4 linked regions of the Oryctolagus cuniculus genome follow. The main gene of each other region encodes a partner of the protein of the gene in region 3 in a complex. Links are inferred from orthologs where the notes say so. Each region holds a gene or a part of one and is shown on either strand. Other genes may lie near its edges.

Region 1 (3,562 bases), on a different chromosome or scaffold from region 3:
TTCAAATGCATTGAGGGTGGTTTTGCTGTTGCTCCTGGACGAATCTTGAATCTTGTTTAAGTCTGCTTTAAAAATAATAATAAAACTGTTTTTAGAAACATATCATTCTGTGTGCCATGTCTGATGTCTTGGGGGCAACACCTGCTTTTTTAGAAGTTGTTCCAACTGAAGTTATAAAGCATCCAAGCTGGAAGAGACCCTTGTTTCACAGATGGAGAAAAGTCGTGGTCCTCAAACTTGATTGGCCCCAAGGTCACACAGTCAGACAGGACCAGATCCCACAGTGCCTTGCAGCAACAGTTACCTGTCCGTTTTATGGGTCCCGGGTCTTCTTTCAGGAAGGAGACGTGTGTTTTCCATTCGGTCCACTTCACCTCATTGATCCTGCAAGTATAACCATTATTTTTGCTATGTGGCAACCACATCTCATCAAACACAAACAAGTGGAGGAGCATTTGGAATATCCTCATCTCTAAACAGCTCTCTTTCTGTCCATCCTGGGGACCAGGACCCCTGCATGCTCCCCATGGACACAGCAGCGCTGTTAGTGTTTGAAACCTGCCTGGAGCCCCATTTTCCCAGGCCTCAAGGATCCATTCTCCTACCAGGGTGCAGGACCCAAGAATCCTATAAGGTGCTAAGACAAAGGGTGCATCTTCCGACATCACAGCTGTGCCTGATTGGTGAGAGGGTGTCGGCCTGGAGGGAGGGAAAGCTAAGAAAGTGTGAGGGTTGAAAGTGTGGAAGTTTAGCTAGGGTTAGAGACACTTTAAGAGAAGGTGGTTAGGGTTCATGTCGTAATGGGAGTGGGCAGTGCCTGAGGTGTTGAGTGACAGCTGGAGTGGGTCTGACCTCAGCTCACATTCAGAGAACATCTCTGGAGTGATGTTCCCTCAAAATCAGAAATATCTGTTAATGCAAAGATGATGGTCAGCAACGGTGGCTTCCAAGAGGGAGAACTTCAATTAGAGAAGTAATTTATTGCTTAAGTTTCATTTATTTATTTATTTGAAAGGCAAAACAACAGGGTGAGGCAGAAGGAGAGAAAGATCTTCTATCCACTGATCCATTTGGAAATGGTTGTAACAACCAGGTCAGGGCCAGACTGAAGCCAGGAGCCAGGAACTCTATCCTGGTCTCCCACATGGTTGCAGGGGCCCAAGCACTTGGGCCATCTTCCACTTCCCTCCCAGGCACATTAACAAGGAGCTGGATTAGAAATGGAGCAGCCAGGGCTTAAAACTGCATCCCATGTTGGATGCCAGCATTCCAAGGGGCAGTCTAACCTGCCACAATGCCAGCATGCTGGCCTCAGAGAAGTAATTTAAGGAAGTACAGTTATATGCAAAAATGGAAGTCTGTAGGGTCAGGCAGTTAGGAAAGGGTGAGAACAGACAGACTTATCAGAAAAGGTGGGCTCATCATGGGATTTGGGGGGACTTTACAAAAATCCAAAAAGTGTGGATTTGTCCATAGAAGATGTCCTGGGCTCCTCGCTTCATCCTGGCCCAGCCCCAGCCATTGAGGCCATCTGGGGAGTGAAAAAGTAGATGGAAGACCTCTCTCTCCCTCCCTCCCTCTCTTCTCCCCCTCCCCCACCATCACTCTGCCTTTGAAATAAAGAAAATAAATCTTTAAAAAAGAAAAGTGACTATCTCACTTCTACTTGCCAATACTAAAGTAGTGCCCCATTCCCTCTGCTGTCACATGAACCCATGGAGGGTGGACAAAAGAACAAAGGTCAGGCTGGTAAATCTTTTCTAAGCCCAACCCTGGCCAGGGAGAGGCTGTTAAGGCACCTTCAAAGGGACAGGGGGTGAAAGCAGAGCGGGCAGTCCCCTCCCTCTTTCTGAAGCTCACCCTGAGCTCACGATGCCACAAGAGTTGAGTCCGTCCTCTGAGAAGGCCCAAGAGACAACGGCCTTGGTTACAGCAATCGAGGGGCAGCACCATTTCCCTGATATTTTGGTCACACTGGTTCATCCACCTCCATCCACCCCCAAAAAGCCCCCACGGAAGGGCCCTCTCCCTCAGTTACCGCAAACACAGTCGGAAGTCTTCCTCGGCCACTTTACACAGCTCCCCCATGCGGAATCTGCTTCTCAGCCATTCCGGCAACATCTTCTCAAACTCCAAGATCGTCCTGGCTCTCTGGGGACATAAGCAAGCCTCAGCAGGTTGCTCGGAGCCAGCCCCGGGAGCGCAGCTCCATGGCTGCTGCATGCACATGCAAACAGGTACACACACACGGCATCCCCGCTACATGCTCAGTGCCTAGATCCTGAGGACTCCACTAATCCCAAGGATGCAAAGATGAAAAAGCAGAACACTTGGGAAAGACAATCAAAGAGCTTGGAGCACCATGTGATATCTCTGGAAGTTCAGGCCTCTCCTAACTGAAGACGTCCACATCCTGGAATCCCAACACAGAGGAAAGCTGAGACATGATGGAGTCCCACTGCCCTCCCAGTCTGGGAAGCCACTGGCAATCTTCCTGGGAAAAACTTATCCAATCTCTCCCGAGCATTATCCACAATCTAATTTAGCTGTCTTCATAAGTAGACACTTTTTTTTTTTTTTTTGACAGGCAGAGTGGACAGTGAGAGAGAGACAGAGAGAAAGGTCTTTCTTTTTTCCATTGGTTCACCCCACAATGGCCGCTGCGGCCAGCACACTGCACTGATCCGAAGCCAGGAGCCAGGTGCTTCTCCTGGTCTCCCATGCGGGTGCAGGGCCCAAGCACTTGGGCCATCCTCCACTGCACTCCCAGGCCACAGCAGAGAGTTGGACTGGAAGAGGGGCAACCAGGACAGAATCCGGCGCCCCAACCGGGACTAGAACCCGGTGTGCTGGCACTGCAGGCAGAGGATTAGCCTATTGAGCCACGGCGCCGGCCCATAAGTAGACACTTTTTTTGTGTCAATCAAAACTTTTCTCAGGGCCAGTGTCGTGGCTCAGTGGGTTAAGCTGCCACCTGCAACCCCAGCATCCCATATGAGCACTGGTTCAAATCCAGGCTGCTCCACTTCTGATCCAGCTTCCTGCGAATGCACCTGGGGAAGCAGCAGCAGCTAGCCCAGGTGTTTGTGCCCCTGCCAGCCACATGGGAGACCTGGAGGGAGTTCCAGGCTTCTGGCTTTGGCCTGGGCCAGCTCCGGCTGTTGTGGCCATTTGGGGAATGAACCAGTGGACAGAAGATTCTGTGTGTGTGTGTGTGTGTGTCTGTCTGTCTGTCTGTATACCCCTGCCTTTCAAAAAAATATTTTTTTAAAAAAAGTTTCTCTCCCTGCAGTTCTGCTGTGTATCTTGGTTCTGCCGTGTACCTTGGTTCTGCCTTCTGGGGCCCCTGAGGAGAGATATTCCCTCTCTCACAGGCAGCTCAGTAAACATTTACAGAAACTCTCACCTTCTCCCACCCCAGTTTCCAGCAACCTCCAAGGCAGTAGCCAGTCCACTCAAATCTGGTCACTGCCTCTGGCCCCATCCTGTGGGTTGGCATCCCTGGTGTGTGAGGAGTAGAACGGCACCATCACCTCCACTAACCCAGATCCTGCACTCCTCT
Region 2 (3,562 bases), on a different chromosome or scaffold from region 3:
GATGAGAGTGCAGTCCCTCTCTCTCTCTGTCTCTCACTCTCTCACTCTCTCATGCTCTCTCTTTCTCTCTCTTAACTAATGCAAATGAACAAAAGCCAGTGCTTTGAAGAGGAAGTCCAGCACTCTTAGTCTGAAGTTAGCCTGAAGTGACATTAGTCCTGGTCAGAAGTAGCTGGAAGGCCCTCGTCCAGCTTGGGAGGCTAAGGGGGAGGTGAGACCTGACTGAGGGCAGGAAGACCAGCTGATGTCTGAATCAAGATATTTTTGGTAAAGGTTTATTTATTTGAAAGTTACAGAGAGAGGTAAAGACACACACACACACACACACACACACACACACAGGTCTTCCGTCCACTAGTTCACTCCCCAAATGCCTGCAATGGCCAGAGCTGAGCCAATCTGAAGCCAGGAGCTAGGAGCTTCATCCAGGTCTCCCACATGGGTGCAAGGGCCCAAGGGTTTGGGCCATCTTCTGCTGCTTTCCCAGGCCATAGCAGAGAGCTGGATTGGAAGTGAAGCAGCCGGGACTTGAACCGGCTCCCATATGAGATGCCAGTGCTGCAGGCTGGGGCTTTAACCTGCTGCACCACAGTGCCGGCCCCAATATTTAAATATTTTTTTTTTTTTTTTTTAAATTTGAAAGGCAGAGTTACAGGGAGAGAAGGAGAGAGGGAGATCTTCTATCTGCTGGTTCACTTCCCAAATGGCCGCAACGGCCCAGGGCTGGGCCTGGCTGAAGCCAGAGCCAGGAGCTTCTTCTGGGTCCCCATGTGGGTGCAAGGACCCAAGGACTTGGGCCATCTCCATCTTCTGCTGCTTTCCCAGGTGCATTAGCAGGGAGCTGGATCAGAAGTGGAACAAATGGGACTTGAACCAGCGGCACTCAGGGATGCCAGTGTCACAGGCGGTGGCTTCACCCTCTACGCCACAGCGCCAGCCCTGCAACTTCTATTCTTTAAAAAAATAAGAAAGGGGCTGGCGCTGCGGCGTAGCGGGTGAAGCCTCCACCTATGATGCTGGCATCCCATTTGGGCACCAGTTCGAGTCCCGGCTACTCCACTTCTGATCCAACTCCCTGCTAATGGCCTGGGAAAGCAGTAAAGGTGGTTCAAGTGCCTGGGACCCTGCACCCACATGAGAGACTCCGAAGAAGCTCCTGGCTTCAGATGGGCCCGAGCTCTGGCCATTGCAGCCATTTGGGGAGCGAACCTGTGGGTAGAAGACCCCTCCCTCTCTCTCTTTCTCTCTGCCTCTGCTTTTCAAATAAATAAATAAATATTTTAAAAAATAATAAAATAAAAAAATATGTGGGGAAGCCCACCCAGACCTGTGGCTCAGAGTCTTGGGCCCAGGGAATCTGTCTCCCTAGTCAGCTTCCCGGGTGAGCATCCGCGCCAGCCGCTTCTAGAATCTGGGCTTTGTCTGCTAGAGGACAGGGGCTGGTCGAGGTGCCAGGGAAGATGTGGGGCTCTGACAGCGTGGTGCAGAGGGACACGGGTTGTTCAGCCTGGCCGGAGGCGTGCTGGAGCGCAGGGCTAGACAGATGGGCACTGCCGAGGGCTGGGGGCTGAGAGCAGGCCTGGAAGCCGGGACCAGACCCGGAACGGAGGAGGCAGTGTGAAGTCAGCGTCCCCAAAGCCTGGGGCACAGAGCCCCAGGAGCTCGGGTCTAGTGAGAGCCCTCGGGTGGCCCTGGGGAGTGAGTGGGTGTGCCGTGTGTCCGGCACCGGGTGACTGCCTCTCCTCTGGCCAGTGCGCGACCGCGTCCGGACCAAGATGGAGAGGGACATCCTGGCCGACGTGAACCACCCCTTTGTGGTGAAGCTGCACTATGGTGAGACTGCAGCCCTTCCCCGAACTCCCGCACCAGCCCGCGCTCACCCTGGCCGGTGGTCTACACTGTCCAAGCTCCCACCTGCAGGCTGAGGGGCAGGTCACACGGCCGGTGACTCTTGCCCCTCTCCCCAGCCTTCCAGACAGAGGGCAAGCTCTATCTCATTCTGGACTTCCTGCGCGGTGGGGACCTCTTCACACGGCTCTCAAAAGAGGTGAGCAGATAACCCACTGACGGACCACAAGGCCTCCCACTCCTGGGTCCCGTACGGCCTGGGTGTGGAGCCACCTAGGCCTCCCCAGGTGAACCTGATCCAGGCCTTGTCCGGCCTGGCAGCGCCTCCGAGAGTTCCTCCCCAGTGGATGGAGGAGGGCTAGGCCCTGGGTCTGATGTTCACCGACTGGGGGGAGCTCAGGGTGCCTCTCCCCTGTGTGTCTTTCTTCTTCCAGGCTGCCCTGGGCAGAGCTGGGAGCAGCCAGGAGAAGCCCAGATGTGGCCGGCGCCGCGGCTCACTAGGCTAATCCTCCGCCTAGCGGCGCCGGCACACGGGATTCTAGTCCCGGTTGGGGCGCCGGATTCTGTCCTGGTTGCCCCTCTTCCAGGCCAGCTCTCTGCTGTGGCCCGGGAGTGCAGTGGAGGATGGCCCAGGTGCTTGGGCCCTGCACCCCATGGGAGACCAGGAAAAGCACCTGGCTCCTGGCTCCTGCCATCGGATCAGCGTGGTGCGCCGGCCGCAGCGCGCCGGCCGCGGCGGCCATTGGAGGGTGAACCAACGGCAAAGGAAGACCTTTCTCTCTGTCTCTCTCTCTCTCTAACTGTCCACTCTGCCTGTCAAAAAAAAAAAAAAAAAAAGAAGCCCAGATGCACCGAGAAAGCGGGAGACTCGCACACTCTTGTCCCACCTGTTAGCCAAAAGATTTTGAACTGATATAAAAGGATTTTGAGCCAGATACGAAAAATACGGTCATTAACACAATTCCAACTTTAAAGAGAACCAAGCTTTAAAACAAGGGTGGGGGGGGGGGGGTTGGTTTAAACCTTATTGCGGTGTTTGCATAGGTAAAACATTTACATGATTCAAAAGAAAAATATTTATGGGGAAGGCTTCCTCCTACCCCAGTGCCCTGTATCCCCTATCAGTAAACATTTTTATTGGTTTCTTGTTGAACCTTCCCATGTTTCTTCTGCAAACAAATCCCAGGTGTGTTCTGAATCGCCGCCGCTCTGGATACCATGCCCCCTGCCTCGCTGCGTTCCTTCCAGGCTGTGGGAAGCTCCTGTCCTAGTTCATAGCTGTGCACCAGTCCTTCTGCAGGGGCCAACAACACAGTTCCTCCCAGGCTTCGGCCCTGGGACCCCTGGGCTGTTTCCCGACAAAGACCACCACCCTGGGCAGCCATCATTTCATACTTCAAACCCCGTGATGATACGGAGGGCCGAGGAGGCTAGACCCTAGGGACAAGGAAGCTGCTGCCTGCCCAGGGCCCACTGAAGCCCCTCGCGCCTCTTGCAGGTCATGTTCACAGAGGAGGACGTGAAGTTTTACCTGGCCGAGCTGGCGTTGGGTCTGGACCACCTGCATAGCCTGGGCATCATTTACAGAGACCTCAAGCCTGAGAAGTGAGTGACCCCCCAGCCCCACCCTGGCCTCCCTCGGGGGTGCACAGACAAGGGCTGGGGCCTCTTCTAGAACAGGGTCACCTCCATGGGGGGGGGGGGGTGGCTCTCC
Region 3 (3,562 bases):
TTTTATTCAACATTTCACTAGAGGTCCTAGCTATTGTAACTGGCAAGAAAAGGGGGTTAAAGAAGGATAGACAGGAAAAAAAATTAAAATTTCCTATTTATTAATCACATAATTGTATGTGGAAAATGTGAATGATACACAAAAATGTCATACTAGAATTAGTGAAAAATAAGGCATGTTATAGCATGTTTAAATATGAAAAATAATATGTATACATATTTATTATTAATAGACAACTGGACAGATATTTTACAATGGAATTTAAAAACATAAAATATACAGAAATAATGTTAAAGTTACAGAAGTCATTACCATTGAAAACACTAAAATATTACTGAGGAAAATAAAAATATAAATAAATAGATAGGTATTGACAAAATATATAGTTTTTGATGAGTAATTCTCCATATTACCTATAAATCCAGTTTAATCCTATTCAAAATCCAAGTAAGATTTTTATATAAATTGGCATGCTAGTTTTAAAATGCACACAATTAAAAAAACCTAAACAAAATGTATACAATAATGCAGGATCTAGAATAGCCAAACAATATTGAAAAGTTGCAAAGTTGAAGTATGTATTCTAGGAAACATTAAAATCTTACAGTACTTAAAGATTTGGCATTGATGAAAAATAAATTCATAAACTAACAGAAATAAGAAAGTGTCCAGAAGTGGAGCCAAGTATGGATGATCAAATTATAATAGGAGAAAAATAAATAAATAAAATGAGTTAGTAGTAATAAAGCAAAATGTTCAATGTAAAATGTGCAAATGAACTCATCTGACATTTCTTAAAAGAAAACATACAAATTGCCAATAAGTAGATGAAAAAGATTCTCAACATAATAATAAGGGGAATGTAAACCAAAATCCTCAATGAGATATCAACTCATCTTCCTATAGAAGCTATTATAAAAACAGACACAAGTGTTACCAAGAAAGTAGAGAAAGGAGAATTCTTATATACTATTAATCCAAATATCATTTGGAAAAGACATTATGGAGAACAGTACTTAAAAACTAAAAATAGGTCTACATGATCCAGCAATCCCAATCCTGGATGTACTTCCAAAGAAATCAAATCATTATGCTAAAGAGATACCTTCACTCCCACGGTCATTATGGATGAAAGGATACAGAAATGTGGTATATACACACAATGGGATATTGTTCATCCATTAAAAGAATGAAATTCTGTGACTTATGGTATAGTCGGGAGATCAATATTCTAAGTGTAATAAACCAGATACATGAAGTCAAATACTGCACATTCTCATTCACACATTAATACTAAAAAGTTAATGTCATAGCAGTAGAGAGTAGAATATTGGTTATGATATTCTGGAAAGGAGAGAGAAGGGTTGGTTAATGGGTATAAAAATATAATTGAGATAATTATGTTTAGGTGAATATTAATTTATCATCTATCAGCATAGGTGCAAGAGGAGACTTTGAATGTTACCAACACTATGAAAGGATAACAGCATGAGGTGATTGAAATGTTAATTACACTAATTTTATCATTTCACCTTGTATAAATGTACTGAATCTTCACACTGTAGCTCATGACTATTTATAATTATTATGTGTTAATAAAATAATTATTAGAGGTAGACATTCAGCCTGGTGGCTAAGCGACGTTCACACCAGTGTAACTAGGTTTGCGACTCAACTCCAGATCCTGACTCTAGCTTCCTGACAATGCAGAGCTGGGGGGAAGTGGTGATGGCTTAAGTGACTGATTCTTGCCCCCCATTTGGGAGACCTGGATTGAGTTCCTGGCTCCCTGTTTTAGTCCCCGGCTCAGCACTTGAGAGTATTTGACAAGTGAGCCAGTTGATGGGATCTCTCTTTGTGTCTGTCTCTTTTTCTGTCTCTCTGCCTCTCAAATAAGTAAGTAAAAATTTAATAATATTTTTAAGATTAATGAAATAAGAAGATAGCCTCTTATATAATACAAAAGGGATGGAAATTACGCCAAGGGGAGTAAGTTAGTCATAAAAAGACAAATACTGCATTATTCTACTTTTATGAAACATCATAAGTAGTCAAACTCTTGTAAACAGCCAATGGATGGAGTTTGCCTAGAGTATGAGAAGTGGAAATGGGGGAGTTTTTGGGTAAGGGGTGTCGAGCTTCAGTTTGTGCAGATGGAAGGGTTCTGGTGCAGGTGGTTCATGTTATTGTACAACACAGTCAAAAATTATTCTTACAGGAAATCTTACATTATGTGTTATTCACCACAATAAAAAAAAAACTCCATTTTAGCAATACATTCAGCAATGTATTAGCAACTGAATTATACGTCTATCTTGTCACTCCACTATTTAAGATAGTGAAATAAAATTATAAATAAAATTATAAACCTGCTGAAAGCCTCGTTTATTGCAGCTTTATTGACAAAGGCAAACTACTGGGGAGAGCTGTGGTGTCTACAAAGGAGCATGCATTAATAAATTTTACAAATTTCATACAACGACATGCTACATAGTCATAGAAGTGAGCAAATTGTTGATGTATATGATGAACCTATATCTGAAAAAGTTATTACTAATGAAATAAGGCAGAGATTTAAAAAGATAGGTACAGTATGATTCTATCAAACAGGGTTCTACAAGAGGTAATGCAGTAGACAATAGTTGCTTCAGCACTGTTATTTACTTAGAAGAGGCACAGAGAAACTCTTCTATGACGGAGAGACATGGGTTAAGCAAATGTGCACTTTAGCAGAACTATTCAATTCGTGCATCATCACATTTTATTGCCTATATTTTATGAATAATGAAACATTCTTCTTTTGGTTAGCTAAAATAGTAGATAATATGTTTCATTTCAGAACAAAAGAAGCAGGAAACAAAACAGATAGTGAACTTTTAAAGTAAGTCTTTTGTGAATTATTTGTTTCCACAAAGATCAATACTTCCTTCAATCTTCCTACTCTAGTCAGGACAACCTTTGTGTAAACTCTTGTTTAGCAAGCCTAGTAATTAGATCAATGTGGATTATTTTTCTAGTTACAGAAAATATATTCACAAAATACTTAAATTGAAATTTAACAGATATATAATGCAATCATACTTTTTTATATGATGCCCATTTTTAAAACAAATTACCTCTCCAGTTACAGAATGGAAGAAAATGTGATGAAAACACTCGGAAAGGAAAATAAGATTGATGCTTTTTGCATAAGGATTAAGAGTATTCTCTATGATATAAGAATATGTATATATTGAGGTAGGAATCCCAGCTTTAAAGAAAAATGGTCAATTATGACCAGAAAATAATGGCTTGGAAAGTAAATATGATGATGTGAATGCTGCACCCATTATTCAGAAATACTCACATGCACAATCTTCATTCAATGGGAGTTTGAGGAAAGCAGGTGCTCTTTTTAAAAATGACACTGTTAGGGTCACTTCTTCTCCCGCATTCCGCAGAACCTGAACCTAAAAATGAAAAATAAAACATTATCATTATGTTTATAAGTTTTCTTCACAGTTGCAAAACCTTGAAATAATAGATTGTCTTTTCCATCTTTCCTTTGTTTCTTACAGTCAGA
Region 4 (4,182 bases), on a different chromosome or scaffold from region 3:
AATTTTACTCCGGATTCTACATCACCCACTAGGAGAGAAAACGGCTAACTGAACAAAGATTTAGTGAATCGAACCTTATAAGGTGCACTGTGGCACTACTGATTTCAAACTACAAAACTTCTAAGTGCAGTTGCAAGCTGTAATTAACTTCATTTACACATACAAACCTACTTTTGCCCTCCCCACACACACCACATATACTGAAAATGGTTTTGCTTCTAAACTTACACCAATCAGTCCACAATTCACATTTTTAAAAGAATCTACCAATGCAACCCTAGAAACTAAAAACAAATCACTGCGCGATTCTGATGCAATATGCGGACGCGGAACACTAATTTTCATTTTAATCTGATCTATACCCTTGATCTAGGGCCTAACAAGATTGAATCGAAATATGCTCAATCTCCAAGCGTCTACTTTTTCGTTCACCTACAAGACCGGATTATCGAGCCCACTAATCCATCAACAGTGTACAGTATTCGGCATTAACGGACAATGGCCCTTAGGAAGAGACCACATACATGCACTACGAAACCAATCAGTGCCTTGACACTTGCAACCAGGCACGAGTTCCGTCTAGCTGAACACACCCTGGGCGGAATACACCCGAAAAGAGACACAAAAATCCATGCTCTGGAAATCTGACCAGGGCTCAACGCTACAGCTACCCCAAACTACGGAACATTTTCGCACTCGTCTACTCCCACGTTATGCGAGTGACAGAAAGGCAGAGAGCTGCCGCTGCAGAAATGGATACAGGTCAAGTCTAAGTCGAATCCATCCTCTTGATATCTCCTTTTGTTTCTGCTAACGATCTCTTTGATGATGGCTGTCATGTCTGGGAGCCTGTGGCTGAAGAAAAAGGAGGAGAGAGATGGCAGAAGCTGCTGGTGGCGGGGCTTCTTCTGTAGAATGGAAATGGCTCTGGACTTGGCGGTAGCTGATGCCCCTCGCTCTGCTGCCGCTTGGCTCTGGACCGCAGCCGGGTAATGGCTGCTGCGGCGGCTGCTGGATGGTTGCAGCGACTGGGCCTGCTTCTCCTCAGCAGCCAGAGGCCTGGCAGCGGCGGCAGCGGAATGGGGAGAAGACGAATAATCCTCGGAACGGCTGCCTCCTCCGGCGGCCTCCGGAGCCCGGGCCAGGGAGAGTGCGGCGGCGGCGGAGGGAAGGTTTAAAACCGGCCCGGGTCCCTGGATGTGCCGCCGCCGCCGCCGCCGTGTTGGAGGCAGTAGAAGGGGAGAGACCAACTCTCCGGCGTTCCCAGCCCTGGAAATGGTGACAGGCGGCTCCGAACCCCTCCCGGGAGCTGCAGCCGCCGCGGCCGCCGCCGCCGCCGCCGCTTCTCCCCCCCGCTCCAGGAGCGGGAGGTGCCGCCGCCGCCGCCGCCGCCGCCGCGCCTCAGCCGGCTCCCGCCTGAGCCCACGGCTTCCACCTTCCCTCGCAAGAAAAGCCGAGGAAGAGGCTGCACGGTTAGAAGAGAAGACGAAGAGGAGGCGAGAAACGCCGCCGCTGCCGCCGCCGCAGGCCGGCCGGCTCCCGGAGGGCGCTGCCCCCGCGGCTGCTCACAGGCGCTGAGAGGGGCTCTGGGCCGCGGCCGCCGCCGTCTCTCATCTCCCTCGCCTGAGCCGGGCCTAGCCTCACAGCGGCTCAACTCTCAAACTTCCATCATGGCTGCAGCTTCCGAGAGGAGAGAACTGAGCGCAGCCGCGTCCCAGCGCCCGGGCGCGTATCCTGCCGCAGTGCACAAAGAGTCCCGCCACATCACCGTCGCCGGCCTGCCCGCCCCCTCCGCCGCCGCCGCCGCGCCGGGAGCCGGGCCGCCTCGGGAGCCCGAGGGGAGGCGGGGGGCGAGCTGGAGGCGGACGGGACCGCGCCGGGGGAGGGGAGGGCTGGGCCGCGCCGGGGTGGGGTGGGGGGCGGGGGCGGCAGCTCCAGGTGCGAGCGCAGGGCCCCCAACCTGCTGGTGCTATTGAGCATGCCCAGTGTGACTGCCTGGGGCTCGCTCGGGCTTGTTCCGAGGCGCCCGCCCGTAGCTGCACTTGCCGCGGCTGCTCCTGCAGCAGCTCGGGGCGGGGGAACGAGCTCAGCCTCGGCCTCTGCCCGGACACCCGGCCGGAGCCAGGGCAGACTGCGGCGGGGCGGCGTGGGGGCGGAGGAAGGTGGATGATGAAAACTGAGACTGGTGCGTTGAGCGGTGTCGCCGACTGCAGTGTGAGGTTACCTGTGCACAGGTGGACCGCGCGGGTCAGTATCTAGGGAAATGCCGCGAGGACACCCCTCCCCCGCCATGGCGTGCGAACGCACGCACTCCGTTTGTCCCGCTGTGGACGATCGCGGCGGTTCGCAGGGATCTCACTGTCGCAGCCTCTGCCTAGAGCGCCCGCGCCGCCGCCGCCGCCGCCGCCCCCGGGTCCTCAAGGTGTCAGCCTCAGCACAAAGAACGACCCCCTATTGTGTCTCCGGCGGCGCGTCTCGCCTCATCCGGCTCCAGTCACCGCCCCACCTCTCGCTGCCCCAGCTACTCGGTTCATTTGCCCGAAAAGCGAAAGCTCTCAGCCGGGCGCGCTAGAGTGCACACGTCGCCCCCCGCCCCGAATTCCCAGGGCCCGAGGGCCTCCTGCCTAGGCCGCCTTAAAGAGGATCCCCGTGAGCGGGACGCACCCCCACAGCTCCCTCCGCGGCCCCCGGAGAGCTGAGCATCTGTCCCCTCAGGCTCCGGGTCCGTTCGCGGCGTCGAACTCGAGCTCGGTCCTCAGAGGCTGCCTCGCCCCGCCCACTCTCCGGGCCGCTGAGAAAACCTGGCACGATGAATCGCCCGCGGCCAGCTTCCGCGCTCGCCGGGCCGGCCGGTGCACGCTGGAGGCCCAGGTTGCCGGCCCGGGCGCGGCGTTCAGGACGGTAGGAAGCGGCAGCCCCGCGAGTGGGCGGGGCGAGGAGCCCTAGGAGGGTTCAAAAGGGGGTGGAAGGATACCCGAGCCACCGTCGGAACTACTTTCAGGAAGGGGTCACGTGTGCTCCGAGTTGGGGAACTTTCCAAATTCCCACTCCTCCAAGCGTAGCTCCGGAGGCAAGTGCTTCGCCAGCTACGCTCGGGGTGCTCCCGCCTGGCGCGGGCAGCACCCCCACACCCTCCCAGGCTGCAGAGGGACGGGGTTGGGGATGGCCAGTGGAGCCTCCACAGGATCGCTGTCTGGGCTAGCTGCTGGGCAGGCACCCCCATCCAAGCACGTGCCCCCGCTCCCGTGCACCGCTGCTCTCACCCTTCTGCTACCCACGGAGTGAGCTCTCTCTGCTGTGGATTGACAAGCACTGCTTGTTCTCAACCGTGGGAAAAGGGGCCGGGCCCGAGGGATCTGGCGCATCTCCCTCGTTGGTTGGGGTGAACCCTCTGGTTCCGTGCTGTCGGGGCCAAAGGCTCGTTCCCGCTGCGCCTGCTGCTTGGATTGCAGGTGTTGCAACAAACTTTTGAGTCGCTACCCCTGCACTGGTGAGCACGCCCCACCTACTGTAGACTCAGCCAAGTGCCTTATCTGGTCTAGTCCTTGGCCGTATGCCCAGAACAAACCTGTCAAGTCTTTCTGCAGCCCCGTGGTTGACCTATCCAGTGAGTGAGCTGGTTCACAAATGCTTAGACCTAGAGCGCCTCCTCAACCCCCTCCCCAAAATACGCACATCAGTCAGCTTCAAAATGAGAAGGGGCGTCAACCAACACCAACCTACGAATTTTTTTTTCTCTCTTTCATTTCCCCCCACTCTCCTCCCACCCCACCCGGCGCCCCGCTCCAGGAAAGTAGAATTCCAGGGGAAAATTTGAGTTCAGAAGTATCTGACTTAGACCAGGCTGAAGCCCTAGGTTGTTTTTTTCTTTTTCTCTTTTTTTCTTTTTTTTTTTTTTTTTTTTTTTTTGACATCTGAGAAAATGGGAATCAGTTGGCACATGTGTTGTGATAAATGGTGAGTAGATACCTAGAAAGGTCTAAAGCCGAGTTTTCTTGTGAGGAAGATTGTAAATGTGCACATCATCATTACAGGCAGCCCCTGAAGACTAGAAACCTCAGGAGGCCCAGCTCAGAGAGCCACAGGCCATTACCTAACTCCAGGACTGCTAATTAAACCGGGGATATTTAGGGACCTCTGAGGCTACATAAAACTGCATTTATATACAACATCCTTTTAAGA

Evidence for each region.
Region 1: the proteins of SNTG1 (region 3) and TRPV3 are in contact, whole or in part, in a crystal structure (PDB 7QQN), measured with the Homo sapiens proteins. The link is inferred for Oryctolagus cuniculus from reciprocal best matches to the Homo sapiens genes SNTG1 and TRPV3. Residues at the interface, in NP_001274742.1 of Homo sapiens: Arg62, Gly66, Gly67, Phe68, Gly69, Leu70, Ser71, Ile72, Lys73, Gly74, His78, Ser85, Lys86, His118, Glu119, Val122, Arg126; in NP_659505.1 of Homo sapiens: Pro786, Glu787, Thr788, Ser789, Val790.
Region 2: the proteins of SNTG1 (region 3) and RPS6KA1 are in contact, whole or in part, in a crystal structure (PDB 7PC8), measured with the Homo sapiens proteins. The link is inferred for Oryctolagus cuniculus from reciprocal best matches to the Homo sapiens genes SNTG1 and RPS6KA1. Residues at the interface, in NP_001274742.1 of Homo sapiens: Gly67, Phe68, Gly69, Leu70, Ser71, Ile72, Lys73, Gly74, His78, Ile80, Ser85, His118, Glu119, Val122, Leu125, Arg126, Arg141; in NP_002944.2 of Homo sapiens: Arg728, Lys729, Leu730, Pro731, Thr733, Thr734, Leu735.
Region 4: the proteins of SNTG1 (region 3) and PTEN are in contact, whole or in part, in a crystal structure (PDB 7PC7), measured with the Homo sapiens proteins. The link is inferred for Oryctolagus cuniculus from reciprocal best matches to the Homo sapiens genes SNTG1 and PTEN. Residues at the interface, in NP_001274742.1 of Homo sapiens: Gly67, Phe68, Gly69, Leu70, Ser71, Ile72, Lys73, Gly74, Glu77, His78, Ser85, Lys86, Ile87, Ser88, His118, Val122, Leu125, Arg126; in NP_000305.3 of Homo sapiens: Asp395, Gln396, His397, Thr398, Gln399, Ile400, Thr401, Lys402, Val403.

The regions. Positions count from the first base shown.
Region 1 is NC_091448.1:48,868,418-48,871,979, forward strand, and holds part of TRPV3 (transient receptor potential cation channel subfamily V member 3), read right to left. Parts: intron 2,152-3,562; coding exon 2,039-2,151; intron 385-2,038; coding exon 305-384; intron 66-304; coding exon 1-65. UniProt on the Homo sapiens protein: Non-selective calcium permeant cation channel. It is activated by innocuous (warm) temperatures and shows an increased response at noxious temperatures greater than 39 degrees Celsius. Activation exhibits an outward rectification.
Region 2 is NC_091438.1:144,950,217-144,953,778, reverse strand, and holds part of RPS6KA1 (ribosomal protein S6 kinase alpha-1), read left to right. Parts: intron 1-1,752; coding exon 1,753-1,833; intron 1,834-1,967; coding exon 1,968-2,047; intron 2,048-3,346; coding exon 3,347-3,453; intron 3,454-3,562. UniProt on the Homo sapiens protein: Serine/threonine-protein kinase that acts downstream of ERK (MAPK1/ERK2 and MAPK3/ERK1) signaling and mediates mitogenic and stress-induced activation of the transcription factors CREB1, ETV1/ER81 and NR4A1/NUR77, regulates translation through RPS6 and EIF4B phosphorylation, and mediates cellular proliferation, survival, and differentiation by modulating mTOR signaling and repressing pro-apoptotic function of BAD and DAPK1.
Region 3 is NC_091437.1:74,879,173-74,882,734, reverse strand, and holds part of SNTG1 (gamma-1-syntrophin), read right to left. Parts: intron 3,450-3,562; coding exon 3,347-3,449; intron 1-3,346. UniProt on the Homo sapiens protein: Adapter protein that binds to and probably organizes the subcellular localization of a variety of proteins. May link various receptors to the actin cytoskeleton and the dystrophin glycoprotein complex.
Region 4 is NC_091446.1:42,814,263-42,818,444, forward strand, and holds the start of PTEN (phosphatidylinositol 3,4,5-trisphosphate 3-phosphatase and dual-specificity protein phosphatase PTEN), read right to left. Parts: upstream 2,838-4,182; 5' UTR 2,837-2,837; coding exon of another isoform or gene 2,810-2,836; 5' UTR 2,293-2,809; coding exon 2,225-2,292; intron 1,766-2,224; exon of another isoform or gene 856-1,765; coding exon 761-855; intron 598-760; exon of another isoform or gene 1-597. UniProt on the Homo sapiens protein: Dual-specificity protein phosphatase, dephosphorylating tyrosine-, serine- and threonine-phosphorylated proteins.